Linked DNA regions of Alligator mississippiensis. The protein of the gene in region 2 purifies or fractionates together with the protein of the main gene of each other region. This does not show direct contact. Links are inferred from orthologs where the notes say so. Each region holds a gene or a part of one and is shown on either strand. Other genes may lie near its edges.

Region 1 (7,552 bases), on a different chromosome or scaffold from region 2:
GGAACCACGGCTCATCTGGGGGGCGCATACCCCCCGGATCCATGTGGGGCGGGCAGGCTGCAGCTGCCAGCTGGAGCCAAGGCTGCGACAGGCTCCTCTCAGCAGGGGCTGGGCTCAGGACAGGCAGCCACAGTGCTGAGAGGGGCCTATGGGGGGCAGAAGCCACCCCAAATTTCACCACAACTCCCTCAACCACCCCTCCGAGTGCTGCCACCACCCACCCAGTGTAGCCCCGGCTCAACCCCCTCCACCCACATGCTGGAAAGAGCTGGGGCTGCAACAGGTAGGCAGCAGCGGCACTGACAGGGAGGGCTATGACAAAATTGGGGGGGGGGGGGGGGGGGAGGGGGGTGTTGCTGTAGCCCCTCCCGTAGCCTCCTCCCAGCACAGGCCAGAACAACCTGCACGGGGGAGAGGTAGCTGAACCTGTGCCACTGCCATTTCTCCCAGTCTCCCGCTGCTCTGTTGTGGCACAGGTGCAGCTTCCAGCTGGTGGGGAGCAGCCACCAGTTCTCCCCACCTGCCGTCACCTCCCAGATGCAGTGCAGCTAAACCACTTACATATTAATCAAAACCACAAACATATAGATCCAGAGGTAGTGCTGTAAAATTAACTATATATATTCACTCCTAGGTGCAGTCATGTACTGTGATCTGTGTAACCAAAAACAAGCACTATATAATTGCATTATCACCTTCCCTGCACTTGTCTATCTCTGAAGCCATCTTAAGACTCCCTGCAAAAAGTGGAAGCCCCACTTATTTGGCACCAGACAACACTAACCTGATAGCAGTTGGCATCCAGCCTGTCAGCAAACGCTGCATCACTGAGCTCTGCTTCAGCTCCACAACAGAAACCATTCCTAGAAAAACAGAAGTGTTAAGCTCTGCGTATAGGGGATGTGTGCTGTTGATGCAATAGTTCACTGTCACTAATACAAGATGCAACTTGCCTCATTTAGCATTCATTTTTGTTACAGTTACTAAAAAGAGAGTCAATGGCAGCTGAAATCGAAAACCAAAATAGGAAGTGTCATGGAAGATGAAGAGATCAGCCTGGCCCTTTTCAGAGGGGAAGGGGAAAAGCTCAGGCTGGCCCTTTTCAGAGAAAAAGGGGAAAAGATCTTCCTCAGGACTCTCTGCTATCAGGCCTAGACTGCTATCTGCTCCCAAGGTGAGAAGGGGCATCCAAATGTCCTACTTGGAACTATTTACAAGTATTATTTACATTAAAGCCTGCCCACACTGAGCCCCCTCAAAGTGCTCCCCCATTGGAACTGCAGGCTAGAACTTAGCCACCTTGCTTCTTATATCATAGACAGGCACTGTCATGACTGGGATATGCTGGCTACATTGTGTTATAAAGAGCAACTGACGATGGCCCTTACATTTGGCTACAGGCTGCTTTCCATGGATTAGAGACTTTTCTTCCATGACACATTCTACACAAATACAAAGTGGCAGGACAGGACATGCTCTGCTCTAAGTTCTTACCATGCACATCATGAGGTGGCAATCTAAGGATAAAAATTCCTCCTGAAGCAGAGGGCAGAGCAAAGAGAGCCTCCCCATCACTGCTAAGCCAAGCAGCTGAGGCTGTGGAATTAGATGCCAGTCCAGGGATGTTGGGGATCATGTGGTAGCTTGACAGGTCTCTAAAGTTAACCTTCCCAATATCTGTAAATACAGACTGCATCTGGCTCTCTGTGATCAGCTCCTGTTAAATAAAATAAAAACAAAGACTCCAGACTGCAAAAGCACAAAGAGCGGTTAGAAAAATGTAAAACTGGATTTGTCCGTGGAATGACAAATACCTTTAAAAAACTACTAGCTCCTGCTTTGTGAAATTAGTTCTTTCCAATGAAAATCAGCTAAATTCAAACCTGTGTCTCTCTACCTTATTTAACCAGCAAAGCTAGGCTATTTAAGGGTGAGTTTCAAAGGGTAGGTAGAACTGAGAGCTGCCAAAACACAGGAACTTAGATCCTACTCTCTCTCTCCCTCCCTCCCTCCCGTACCTGCTAACATCCCAGTGGCAGTGTCCACACCTGCACCAGTGTTTCGCTCAATACCTGCTTCAAGTCTAAACAGCTCATTCTTAGCAAGTGCCATGAGTTAAATTTCTATGAAACAGCCTGGAGCTAAGGTGGTGGTCTGCTGGCCTGATCCTGCAAATGTAGAGACGGAACAAGTGACCCAAAGGGAGTGGAGATCGCAACACCTCAGGAAGGATACTGAGAAAAAACATTAACCTAATGACTTTTCCCACAGGAAATTTGCACCAAGCCACACCTTCCTGCCCATGCAAACAAGAGCGCTTCCTACTTTGTAAGCCAAGCGATACATCTAGCTGTGACCACCCCACAGGAGACAGTTTCCTGTCATGCCTGTCTAGGTCCCTTGCCCCTACTCTGGGCAGCTGAACTTGGGCAGCCCAATTCTCATCACCGGGGCTGGTGAAGGAAAAAGCTGAGAGGCAACTTACACTCCTGTACATGCGGGCAGGGTGGGGCAACACCAGCCTGTGCACGGTCTGGTTGGTGACGATCAGGAGGACGAGGTGGTTCTGCACCTCGCAGAGGTGGACCCCTCCAGGCAGCAGGAGGCAGTTCTGGATCCGGAGCCGCACGGCATTGTTCAGCAGGTTCACATCCAGGGACTCCTCCACCAGCTCCACCGTGTCCCCAGCCGTGCTCCTGCAGGGGCAGCGCAGCCTGTTCACACCCGGCGACCAGGTCCCCCCAGCCCCCGCGCGGCCTCTGCCCAGGGCAGCGGACCCCCGCCCCGCCCCGCCCTCACCAGTGGATGAAGCGGTTCCTGGTGGCCGAAACCAGCTGCGCGCTCTCCCGGTAGCAGAAGCCGCCGGCGCTGTCCCCGAGCCGCGCCGCGCCCGGGCTGGTGCTGGCACCTGTGGGGAGCCGGAGGGGGCCGGGATTAGCGGGGAGCCGGAGCGGGGCCGGGCGCGGGGGCGCGGGGCCCGCGGGCGGTACCTGGCGGGCTGAACACGACCTCCCGCGCCCGGCGCTGCGGGCCCCGCGCGGCAGCGCTCAGCTCCATGAAGCTCCGCTCCGGCAGCGCCGCCATCTTCCCTTCGCGCGCTTCGCCGCCGCGCGGCACCACGGGTCCGGCCCGGCCGCGGGGGCTCACGGGACGGGGGCGGATCCCGCTGCCGCGTCATCAGCGGGAGGCCCCGCCGCGCCCGGGCAGTATGGCGTCCTAGGGGCAGGACGAGGCGAGTTCCTCGTTTCCCGTCTCCGCTGGTTGTGGCGCGGGGCCAGGACGGGTGTCTGCTCCACCCCCGCCGACTTGTCTGAAGGTTTTAAGGGGGGGTTTGCGCTCTTCTCAGAGGCCCCGGGGGCATGTTGACTGAGGTGGGCCCTGCTACGGGGTCTTGTTCGTCTGTTCCTGGTCCGATTGGTGTGGCCTGGGCGGGGGTTGCTTTCCTCTAGTTGTTTTTAAATTATTATTAATGTATTTATTTTTATTAGATTTGCATCCGAGGCCAAATTAGCCCAAACCAATTCCAAATCGAGGAGTCCAGCACCTTAAGTGGCCCTGCTACCGGCAGGGGTGTAGGTTGTAGCCATGTTGGTGTAAGGACGCGGGCAGACAAGGTTCTTGGGGTGAATCTGTCTTTTATTAGACCAACTTAAATAGTTGGGAGTTTTATTTTAGCAAGCTTTTGGGTTTAAAAACCCTTTGTCAGGCTGAGGAAGTTTCAGCAGTGGGCATGTGCTCTTCCTGCCTGGAATGAACAGTAAAGAAGCCAGGCTGGGCTGGTCTTCGTGCAAGACAGGCAGTCAGTGAATACATCTACTGGCAAACATCCTCCACCCCATCTGCCTGGGCTTCACATGTTTCCAAAACCTTTGGCGGGCATCCTACTTGCAGGCTTGGGGTTTGGATGCCCCTGAGTTTTGCTCGCCCTCAGCCATAAAGCCCTCAGAGCAAGCTTCCTCTGTTGTGAAACTCTTAAGCAAATATTAACAACCTTTTGCAAGAGCAGGATGTTGACTGCTGTGCCCCCGCCCCTCCCCCCAGCATTACCTGTGCAGGTTAGGGTGTTCAATCCGCTCTGTGTCACTGTTGACCGAGTGGTTTTACTAAGAGGTTACGTTATGGATTTGTACAGGATGGTTTAGATAGGAATGATCCTGCCTGAGGCAAGGGGTTGGGCTACATCAGCGTTTCTCAACCTGTGGGTGTGTCATCATGACCCAGAAGTGGGTCACAAGAATATATGAAACAGTCATGAGCAAACTTTAAAAATGGATTCTCCATTTTCCTGTGGGCGACCATGGCTTTTCCCATGCAGGCTGGCACAGTTCCAGCCTTTGAGGGCCTGCTTGCGGCCCCTTTCGCGGTAGTCAGGCCCGGGGGGCTGTCAGTCAACACCAGGCCGCTTAGAAATCAAGCTTTGGGTCAGGTAGGGCCCTGCACAGCCTTCTTCTGGAGAGTACCCTAATGGTGGAGTTGTGTTTTTTGGAGTGACCCAAGATGGATTTTACCCTGTAATGCCAAACAAACTTGGCCCCTTATTCAGCACAATGTTCTTGATATGTGATATTATATTACAGTCCTTTAGCCAATATACATAGTTAATGAAATACAGAGCTCTGCCATGATTTTTTTATTGCTAACAAATTTATAATCACGGGAAGAGAAACTCTGACATTGGAATGGGGAATGACAAACTGGAAACTAGAAATAATGTACCAACTTCACCCTCATAAAAGCCCTTGGGCAGGTTCTTGGCTGCATAAACCAGCATGGCTACAGGGTCTTTGGCTTTGTAGCTGCAGATAGCTAAACATTGTAACTTTTCTTGGATCAAATCTGCAGTATGGGGCCACTGTCAATCATCAAGTTATATTTTTCAACACAGAAGCATTTGAGAAAGATTACAGTCCAGACACCATGCTGTAGCTAAATGGGTACATCATTTCTTTCTTTGCCTGGGGTCGTGAAGCATGCACTTATCATGGAAAGTGCTTCACTACTTGGTGGTGGCAAATAATGGAAAATGCTGAAAGGAAGAGGGGTTTTTTTTCCTTGCTACCTGACAATCAAAATTAAATCCCAGCTTCCACTGCAACAGATCGCATGTCATAGGCCCAGAATACAAATAAAGCAGGGACAAAATGTGCTTCCAACTCTAGCTGCATCAGAAGGATTTTTAATGTTCCTGTTACTATTTAAGGGCAGGGCAGTTGGGGGTTATAGCAGACAAGCATGACATGAATTTTCCAATGAGTTACTGAACTTAGGAAAGTCACAGAGCAGTGACTGAAAGCTGCAGTAGTAGTTTGCTAAGTAAATTCCTCCAGCAACATGACAATGTCCGGAAAAAACCCTACCAGTGCATGATTTTAAAGCAGAGGCATAAGCCATGATTCAAGAAAGCATAAAGCATGTATTTAACTGTAGCCCGGAGTAGAAGCTGCTTTCCTTATAATCTAGTACAGCGGTTCTGAACCGGGGGTATGTGAGATAACATCGCCTAGAATTAAAATGTTGGTTGATAGTAAGCAGCAGCAGCAGGGTTCGCACTAATAAGTTTTGGTATGTTTTGGCATTTGATGCTAAGTGTGTGTGGGGGGGGGGGGTTTGCACCACTTTTTCTGTGCATGGAATAAAGTTTGTTTAAAATGAAAAAGTCGTTGTATGAGGATCTTGCCATTTTTATAATACACGATTACACATAGTTTGACATAAAAATTAATTTCCCATTGAAAGGGGGTATGTGAAGTCTCACTCTGAGACCAAGGGGTACGTTGACTGAAAAAGGTTCAGAACTGCTGATCTAGTATATTAATTCCCCTGGGTAGCCCAAATCCAGCACAGAGCTCTCCCAATGCTCTGATGTGGTGCTAGTGCAGGGGTAGGCAAAATACTGCCTGCAGCCTGCCAACCGATTGGATCCAGCCCACAGGCTGGCACCCGCCAATTGATCATATCTGGCTGGTGGCTGTCCCTGTGGTGCTTTGCCTGGGGCTGAGCCCCCGCTCCTGCCCAAGGCAGCCCTTTCCATGCTCCTGCCCCTGGCAGCGTGCACAGCTTTTCAGCAGGTCTGCAGCTGCCCAGGGATGGCTTGGCTCCTCCTGCCCCTGCCGTACCACAGCAGGCAGTGCACAGCTGGGGCCAGGCAGGGAGAAGCTGCAGCTGGGTGGATCCCGCCTCAGTGAGCAGGCCTCGGGCTTTAGCCCCCAGCTCTGCCTGCGCAGTAAAGTGAACAGCGAGTTACACAGGCCAGGGGTGCCAGAGACACCTTGGCCTGGCCCTGCGCTGCCACCGCCCTGCGCTGCCACCACCCTGCACTCCTGTCCCCGCCTGTCCCACTCCCCAACGCTGCTCCCCACCACCTGCAGCCCCATCCCACTGGCCCAAGCCCATCTCCATGGAGCCCCCAGGATCTTTATTTTTTTAAATATATTTCTAGGGAGAGAGAGAGTTATATATATATATATATATATATACCTCTATCATAAACTTTCCATCACACATCTTAAAACTGCATTAAGAAACCCACAATTTCCATTACAATAAACGTGTCTGTGGACCCACCCTCCACTCTCACCTACCCCAATTGCAGTCCTCTAGGTCGAATGGTCACAAACTACTACAAGACCGTTTCAGGCTGGACATAAGGAAGAATTTCTTTACTGTCTGAGCCCCCAAGGTCTGGAACAGCCTGCCACCGGAGGTGGTTCAAGCGCCCACATTGAACACCTTCAGGAGCAAACTGGATGCTTATCTTGCTAGGATCCTATGACTCCAGCTGACTTCCTGCCCTTTGGGCAGGGGGTTGGACTCGATCTTCTGAGGTCCCTTCCAGCCCTAATGTCTATGAAATCTATGAAAGCCAGAATGTAATTAAACAGAAGGGGAAAAGAGAGAGAGGAGCCAATAGTATGGTGAAGGAAAATGATGCATAGGAGAGAGGAACCCTAAGGCATGGGAAGAATAAGGATTGGGTCCTCAAGTTCAGGTCCCCTCAAGCTGATAGGGCTGGGAGTCAAGGATCAAAAAGTTGAGGCCAACACCTTTTGAGGCTACTTGCCTTATGGTCAACCACTTCCTGTGACCAGTTGGCAATGCTAGATCACAGCCCCATCACATCAGGGCCTCCACACAAACTAAGTACCATGGCTCACCATTGGCACTGATGCTTCTCAGACCAACATACTGGAGTTCATGGGTACCCGATCTCTTCCATGCCCCATCTTGCTGTCTTTCATGATCTCTCTTCACAAGTCCTGTTCCCCGCTGCCCATCCCCTTTGGTTCCCTTTCATTCTGCCCAGGCCCCACACGTGCCCTGCCACCCAACTGTAAGACAGGTGGTCTGGTAAAGCAGGCAGAACCAGCATCCAAGTCAGGAGGTTCCAAAGAATATGTCAGGAATTGAACTAGGGCTCTGAAACTAAGGAAGCCAAGGCAAGAACCAAGATCCAGAAACTGTGGTCAAGGAATCCAGGATACTGGGATCAGCTGTTCAGAAGCAGAAATTAGGCTAGGGCAGGAGCAAAGGAGATTGAGGCAGGATGTGGGAA
Region 2 (7,637 bases):
CGGGGCTGCGGGGGCGGCGCGCGCTCCTGGGGAGCCGCAGCAGGGTCCGAGTGCCGTCCTGCCTAGGGGAGCCTCAGGCTTGATTAGTGCTATAGACGTGGCCCCAAGGCCTCACCTGGCTGGCATTGCCCTCGCAGGACTCTCCCGTGTGGGGAACAGCGCGCTGAGGGGGAGATGCTAGAGGTCAGGAAGGTTTTGATCCGAGGGGTTCACCCCCATGACCTGGCTCTCAGCTGTTACACAGGGTTTGGGGATGTAGCTACAGAGGATGATGGACAAATCAATTGCCATAGCTCTCCTGCTGCCAAATTTCTTGACTTGTGAGGAGCCCAATGAGCAGGATGCCATGGCTCTGCAGGCTGCATTTGGCCCACCAGAGGTTGAGCACCATATCTGGTCCAATGCTCTCCCTCTATAGCATCCATTTTTCCCCCTGTTGGAGACAGGGTACTGGGATAGATGGACTATTGGTGTGAGCCAATGTCTTGTGTTCTTAAGTATTGCTGGTGATGCTGCCTGGGCTGGGGAGGCAGGGAGCAGGGCAGGGTGGCACTTTACATGCTGACTGGCTCAGAGAGGGATAAGCTTCTATAGGTAACCTCAGATGTTGCAAAGAGATCATATAAGTGCCAGGGGCCACAGTGACTTCTTGGGGCCATGCAAGTTGGAAAAAATGTATTATTTTCTTGAATGTGGAGCAAAACTAACATGGAAATCTATGTAATGCAGCACATCCAGAAGCCAGCAATGCTCTGCATTGTACCCAACCAAGGCAGCACTCAGGGTGGAACTGCACTTCAGCTACAAACATTGTCACTTAATTTAATTTAATACTCTTCCTCGTTTTACAGTCATTTTCTGGGATCCTGATGTGAAACCTTGGGATCTCTATGGAGGAAGTGATGAATATTCAGTTATGAATGAAACCAGAACGATGATTTGAACAAACACTGCTTTAAAATTATAAACTCTCTTGAAAGAGTCAGGGCTTAGGCATTTCAAAATTAGGAGACATTTTTGGTTTGAATCTTCATGTGCCTCCATTCCACATCTGTAAATGGGATAATAATACCCCATCATTTCCAAGGGGACACTAATTAATGTTTGTAGTACTCAGATCCTATGGTGAGGGCACCACAGAAAATCCCCTGAGGAAATTAATAATTCTCTGCTCAGAACAGGTTTGAATGGTGCAAATAAAGCATGGGTTTAAAAAATATCAGATTTAAAAATGATGAAACAAAATATTGAAAAGCTGGTTATTCAGTAAGCTCTGTTTTGTGCACTGGATAGGGTAAGGATCTTATGGATAAAGAAGTGCATGGTTCAGAACTTAAATACACAGCACATGCATGAAGGGGACTGCAGCAGGATTGCACAAGAAGTTGCTTCCTCAATTTTCTAACATGCATCCCTTGGCAATCTTAATATCTGTTAAAAGTTTTGATGCAAGATTTCTTTGCTGATTATATTACAGAATCAACTAGAGATCACAATTAAGGATTGAATCCCCTATGCATCACCAGAAATCCAAATAAAAAATCTTGTTTTCAGAGAACTGTTAATCTGCATTTCAAACAGGATGCAATGCAGACATATGAATTGGGGGCGGTTGGAAGGATGAGGTAAGAAATGAAAGGATTTTAACAGCCAAGAAGAACTGGTATCTATTTTGGCACAGGTAGGTTTTGAGGAGGGATTTGAAAGAGGATTGGGTGGTTAATCTGAATCTTGATAAGTTTCTGTCATGCATTTGGGAAAGCTTGGAGGAAAACTGGGAGGTATTTGAGGGGAAGCGAACGGACAGATGATTGAAAGAGGCACACAGGGTGATGTTTTGAGGATGTTTCAGGCCATTAATACGGGATGTTGAAATATCTCTAATGCCCATCTGGCCCATGGGGCACAAAGGTTGTGAGTGCCCCTGCTCTAAGCGACCAGGGGCTCCATGGTTTGGAGGTTGCATCAGCAGAGACTGCATGTCTGCAGGCTGCACCAGAGAAAGCCACAGGCCTCCTGGACTATATGACACACATTTTTTTTTTTTAATTTCATGTTTCAGGCCAAATTAGCCAAATCAGTTCTGAATTCTATTGACTGAGCAGAACTCAATCATTCAAGTTTGTATGGCACTACCACTGGCAAGTATCCTGTTGCAGCTAGTGTGATGTGGAGAAAGACGGCTGGGCAGGAGGTGGGGGCCACACTCTAAGCCCCTCACAGGCCACCAGTTGGACAGCCTTCACGTAATCAGGGAAGGCCTGTACAAGCAATGAAACAAAAAATACAGGAAAGGGGTAACTGAGCTAAGACTACTGAGAAAGCAGAAGAGAAATCCTTATGTAAATCAGGGAAGAAACCACAGAACTTGGACAAGCAAACATTTTGGGAACAGGAGGCTCAACAACTACAGGAGGCATCAAGAAAACTACCAAAGAAAAAATACAAAAAGGTGAATCTGCATGGAAGCACCATTGGCAAATGATATAAGTGGTAAAAAAAAAAGGAAACGTCTACGGTGACTTGACAACAAATGCTAAAGAAGCATAAAAAGTAAGGAATGAGCATGTAACAAATCATTAAGCCTTGCAGTTCACCCAGATGAAAGCATTCTAGACATGTTAGATGAACACAACTGGAAAAGTAGAATCGTTATCAACTCTGAACTACCATAAAAAGCAGAGACAGAATAGTGGAGAAATAGGAAACCTGGAGACGCCGGTGCCAACAAAGCTTTACAAAAATATTCAGAAAGGTGTGTGAACTAGAGTAGGTACCAGATAACTGGCTAAGGGAAGTAGTTTTAGCAATCATTAAGAAAGCAGGTTTGATCAGATAATTTATAGGACTATAAACCTACCATCTATATTGGCAAAAGTCATGATGAAGGAATTTGTCTACAGATCATAGTTTGTGTTAGAGATTAAGTGGATGAAGAACAGTGCAACTCCAGACCCAATCAAGGCTGCATGTCACACTCAGATGGAAGAGGAATTGAGAATGGAGATTACAGATATCTGTTTTTATTAGCTTGATCAAAGCTTTGGAGAAAAGCATGATGGAGAGCAGCAACATCTCATAGTATTTCAGGTCAGCAAATTTCAAAATTATAACATCAAAGTACTAATCCCCCTACAGTGTCATCAAAACTTCTGGAAAATAAAGCAACAGTTTCAAAGTCAAAATTTGCTCTAAGAAAGGGGGCATAAAATAAGCAGTGCTTTATTTCATTCTTGTAAACCAAACATTGATAATGTTAGATGAGCTGAAGGGCATAACAGTAGATGACCTAGAATTCAGGTGTTTAGCGTATGAGGAGATAGCATTGTCCAGCTAACTATGTCTTAGACAGAAATAAATGTCAACACTATTCTGCTCCCCAGGTCAGCAGAGATATTCCAAAGTGAAATGAAGAAAAGCAGAACACCACCCCTGAGGCATGGGTAACCAGTTAATAAGAAGCATTCCTATCTGAACTGGGCAAAGCAGCACTTTAAATAGGTGCACACACTTGGTTTATGACAAGGACCAGTGGAGAAGACATCCCTTTGTTCATGGGAATGAAAGAAAAAAGGGGCAATGTTGGAATCCAACAGTAAAATGAGGGTTAAGTATGACTCCCACTGTGAACAGTTTTCAGACACACTTTTGGCAGCTTGAGAGGAGAAAACTAAAAGGTGACCCTCTTAAAGCCATTGTGAATTCTCTATATGAGGTCTATAAGGAAACTGGAATGCATTGGGCCCAGAAACAGGCAGGGGTGGTTGGGATGTGGGTCTACCAGGAAAGTGGGTAATGCCAGGAATCCTAGTTTTCTCTGCTAAAAAACAATTCCCCAATTGTTAGATTTAAAACATCCCCCTAAAATCCACATTTTTCCATGATTAAAATGAAGCAGCACTATATATCCATTTCTAGATTAGTGGTGTTTCATTTTAATCACAGAAAAATGTGGATTTGGGTTTTTTTTAATCTGAAAATTGGGGATTTTATTTTTTTTATCACAGAAAACCGAGATCCCTGAGCTTGACTGTATCTCCCCCCTCAGGCTCAGCCTGCTGTTCTCAGCACTAAGCGCTTTCGAGGCTGCTCTAGCCATCCGCCCGCCACGAGACCCGGGCTAAGAACGCCCCTCGGGCCAGGACAGGCTCTGCGCGCAGGGATCAGCCTGGCCCCGCCCCCTGCGGGCTTGGGGCGCGGCCTGACCCCCGAGCGCACCGGGGCGGGGGAGTTGCTGTATTGTGCCGGCGCAGTCCCGTGCAGGGCGGGGGCGGGGCTGTCCTGGGTTCTGCCCATGGCGGGGGAGGAGCGCAGTGACTACATTTCCCAGCATGCAGCGTCCCCCGCCTGCATGTAGGACGCTTCCCTTTCCCAGGATGCACCGCTTCCCTGAGCGACTGCCGCCCCTCTGACGGACTACACCCCCCGGCGTGCCCCGCGGCCGGCCGGTCCCTCCCTGCTCCGCGCCGCGGCTCGCGCGGTGCCTGCCGGGAGCTGTAGTCGGGCGCCCACCTGCGGCGCCCGCCACACCCGGCATTGTGGCCGCACGGCTGAGCGTGGCGGCGACAGCCGGCGCCGCGGCGCGCAGCGCTGTTCAGGAACGGGCGCTGCGCACTTGGCGCCGGGCCGCCGCCATGGCCGGGGCTGGCGGCGGGTGGCGGCGACGGCGGTGAATGAATTCTCCGGGCGGCAGAGGCAGGAAGAAGGGCTCGGGCGGTTCCAGCTCCCCGCCCCGCGCCGCCGCGGCCTCGCCCCCAGTCGCGCCCGGGCCGGCAGCCCCCCTCCCGCCGGCGGCCTGCGCCGGGTCCAGCGCGGGGGCGGGGGCGGGCGCGGGGGCGGGGGCGCCGCCGCCGTCGCCGCACAAGCGGAACGTGTACTACTTCTCCTACCCGCTCGTCGCCGCCTTCGCGCTGCTGCGCTTCGCCGCCTGCCGCCTGGGGCTGCTGTGCGCCTGGCTCTGCCGCCGCATCGCGCTCATGGCCGCCCGCGGCGCCCCGGCCAGCGAGCCCGGCGGGGCGCCCGACACCGTGCGCGCCTGCCACAAGCGCGCCTTCGACTGCATCTCCGCCGCGCTGCGCATCGACGAGGAGGAGCGCGGTGAGCGCCGGGGCGGGGAGGGTGGCTGTGGCGGGGCTCGGCTCGGCTCGGCTCCTGGGGACACGGGTCCGGGCCGCCGCTTCCAGCCCCGCGGGCTCCTCCCTCCCTTCCCCTGCTCGTTTCAGTTTACATAGATTTATTATCTAATTAGTTTATACTGGCTTATCTTTCTATATTATGATGGCTTTATATTTAGCTATTATTTATTTGTTTATACTTATTATTGATATATATATATATATATATATATATATATATATATATGATGGCTTTATATTTATTCATGCTTAAATATCAATTTGCTATATATTTGTTTATATCTATTCTTATACATATTATGTGTTTGTGTGTATTTATACTTGTGTATTTTATTATATATTTGTTTATATTTATACTTATTATTTACATATAATATAAACACCAAGTATAAATAAACAAGTACACAATGTGTTTACATTGATACTTTATTATATAGTACTATATTAGTAATATAGTACTATATTATATTATTTTATATTGATACGTGTTTTGACATTATATTATGTGCTTGTGTTTATACTTGCATATTTGCTCAATATGTAAACAATAAGTATAAATGTATATAAGATAAACACCAAGTATAAATAAACACATACATAATGCATTTATGTTGATACTTATTATATTGTAGTATATTATTTTATATTAATAACTAGTATTATAGTACTATGTTAGTGATAAAGCACTATATTATTTTATATTAGCGATATAGTACTATATTATTTCATATTTATACTTATTTAGACATTATATTATGTGCTTGTCTTTATACTTGCATATTTGTTTAATATGTAAATACTAAGTATAAACAAATACATAATGTGTTTATGTTGATACTTGCATTGTATTATATTATTTTATATTAGTAATATAGTATTATATTATTTTATATTTATACTTATTTAGACACGTGCTTGTGTCTGTACTTGCATATTTGTTTATATTTATACCTATTTATATATGTTACGTGTTTATGTTTAGATACTGTATTCTAATGTGTTTGTGTTTATTTATATTTAGCATTTATACATTATATTAGGTTGTGTTTATATTTACCATTTATATCTTTATATAAAATTTATTCTGACTCTCCTTTTAATTTGCTCTCATTTTGTCACAAGCGCTGGAGTTTTTAATAGCACATCTCCAGCTTTTAACTGGCAGCTCCTCCAAGTGTGGGCGCTCTCAGGTTAAACGCACTCCTCCCTAGCTAGAGGGGCAGGAACTATATGAGTAATGTGAATGTTGAAGAGTTTGCGTTGACAGCTGGCCTGTACAGTGTGGGAGCAACATTTTTCCTAGAAGAAGGAATGGTTTCATTTTGTATATGTAGCTACTGTTAATGGTCTTATGTAACACCTGCATTTTTAATGTTTTGGTGTTAAACTGGAAGCAAATTAGAACTGCTATTGCAAGTCTTCATTCCTGTTCTAGTCTGCCCTCTTTCCTATTGTATCATTTATTTTTTTCATTGTATGAAACTAATCAAACAGGAAATTGTTGTCATGCTGCTGTTTTCCTTTGAAACTGATGCAGGGGCACACTCCGCTTATTTAAAAGAGGAAAGTTTGGTCAGTGGTCAGTGAAATGTTGGGGTGAGGGACAGCAAAGAATTTTCTTCAGCCTTCTTTTATTCCACTTGTTGTTTTGAATTCCACACAAGGTTTCAGAAGCTGTTCCCAATGTATTAGACTCAGCCCAGCAGTCTACATGTAGCAGGACAGCCCTAGTTGTGTTCAAAAGGTGGGGGGGTCCTCTGAGACATGGCTTTGTGCTAGGCTTTAAAATTCTGTGGAAACATCAGCATGACTTTGAGCGTCTGCTTTGTAATACTGTAGTTTCTTTCATTAGAGCTCCTTGGGAAGAACATGGCAGTATTTTCCTTTTCTGGAAATCAGAATAGGGACAACATGCTCAGTGCATCATGAAAGGGACACAGTTATTCTGTATAGCAACAGCTTGTGAGTGGCAGTGATGCAGCTTTATTAATCTGAAAGAGATATTTGTATGATGCAGAACCTGTGACGGTTCAGGGACCAAAACAGAGGGCAAAGAAACTTGAGACTCTAGGTCAGGGGTGGGCAAAATGCAACCTGAGGGCTGGATGCAGCCCACCAGGCCATTCTATCTGGCCTGCAGGGCCCCTGAAAAATTTAAAAAATTAATATTAATCTGCTGTAGGCTGCCTGTCATGTGGCCTTCAATGGCTTGCCGAAAGTTAGTAAGTGGCCCTCTGACCAAAATAATTGCCCGCCCCTGCTCTAGGTGGCTTATTATATTTATGATGATAAGAAGTGTTTGCAGTTTTTAAAGCATAGATAAATCTTCATTTGGCTGGTATTCTAGCTTGTAGTAACAAACAGATACTAACTGCGTAACACCTTTACTCTTAACATTTTGGTGTTAAACTGAAAGCAAATTAGAACCATTATTCTGAGTCTTAATTCCTGCCTGTCCTCTTTCATGATCTATCTTTTTTTTTTTTTTAATAGTATGAAACT

Evidence for each region.
Region 1: the proteins of SPAST (region 2) and NUP160 purify together in Homo sapiens (affinity purification with mass spectrometry; 3 studies listed by BioGRID and IntAct, with this or other methods). This does not show direct contact. The link is inferred for Alligator mississippiensis from reciprocal best matches to the Homo sapiens genes SPAST and NUP160.

The regions. Positions count from the first base shown.
Region 1 is NC_081825.1:171,294,075-171,301,626, forward strand, and holds the start of NUP160 (nuclear pore complex protein Nup160), read right to left. Parts: upstream 3,121-7,552; 5' UTR 3,085-3,120; coding exon 2,991-3,084; intron 2,909-2,990; coding exon 2,800-2,908; intron 2,697-2,799; coding exon 2,486-2,696; intron 1,718-2,485; coding exon 1,495-1,717; intron 864-1,494; coding exon 785-863; intron 1-784. UniProt on the Homo sapiens protein: Functions as a component of the nuclear pore complex (NPC). Involved in poly(A)+ RNA transport.
Region 2 is NC_081824.1:162,677,706-162,685,342, forward strand, and holds the start of SPAST (spastin), read left to right. Parts: upstream 1-4,536; 5' UTR 4,537-4,673; coding exon 4,674-5,097; intron 5,098-7,637. UniProt on the Homo sapiens protein: ATP-dependent microtubule severing protein that specifically recognizes and cuts microtubules that are polyglutamylated.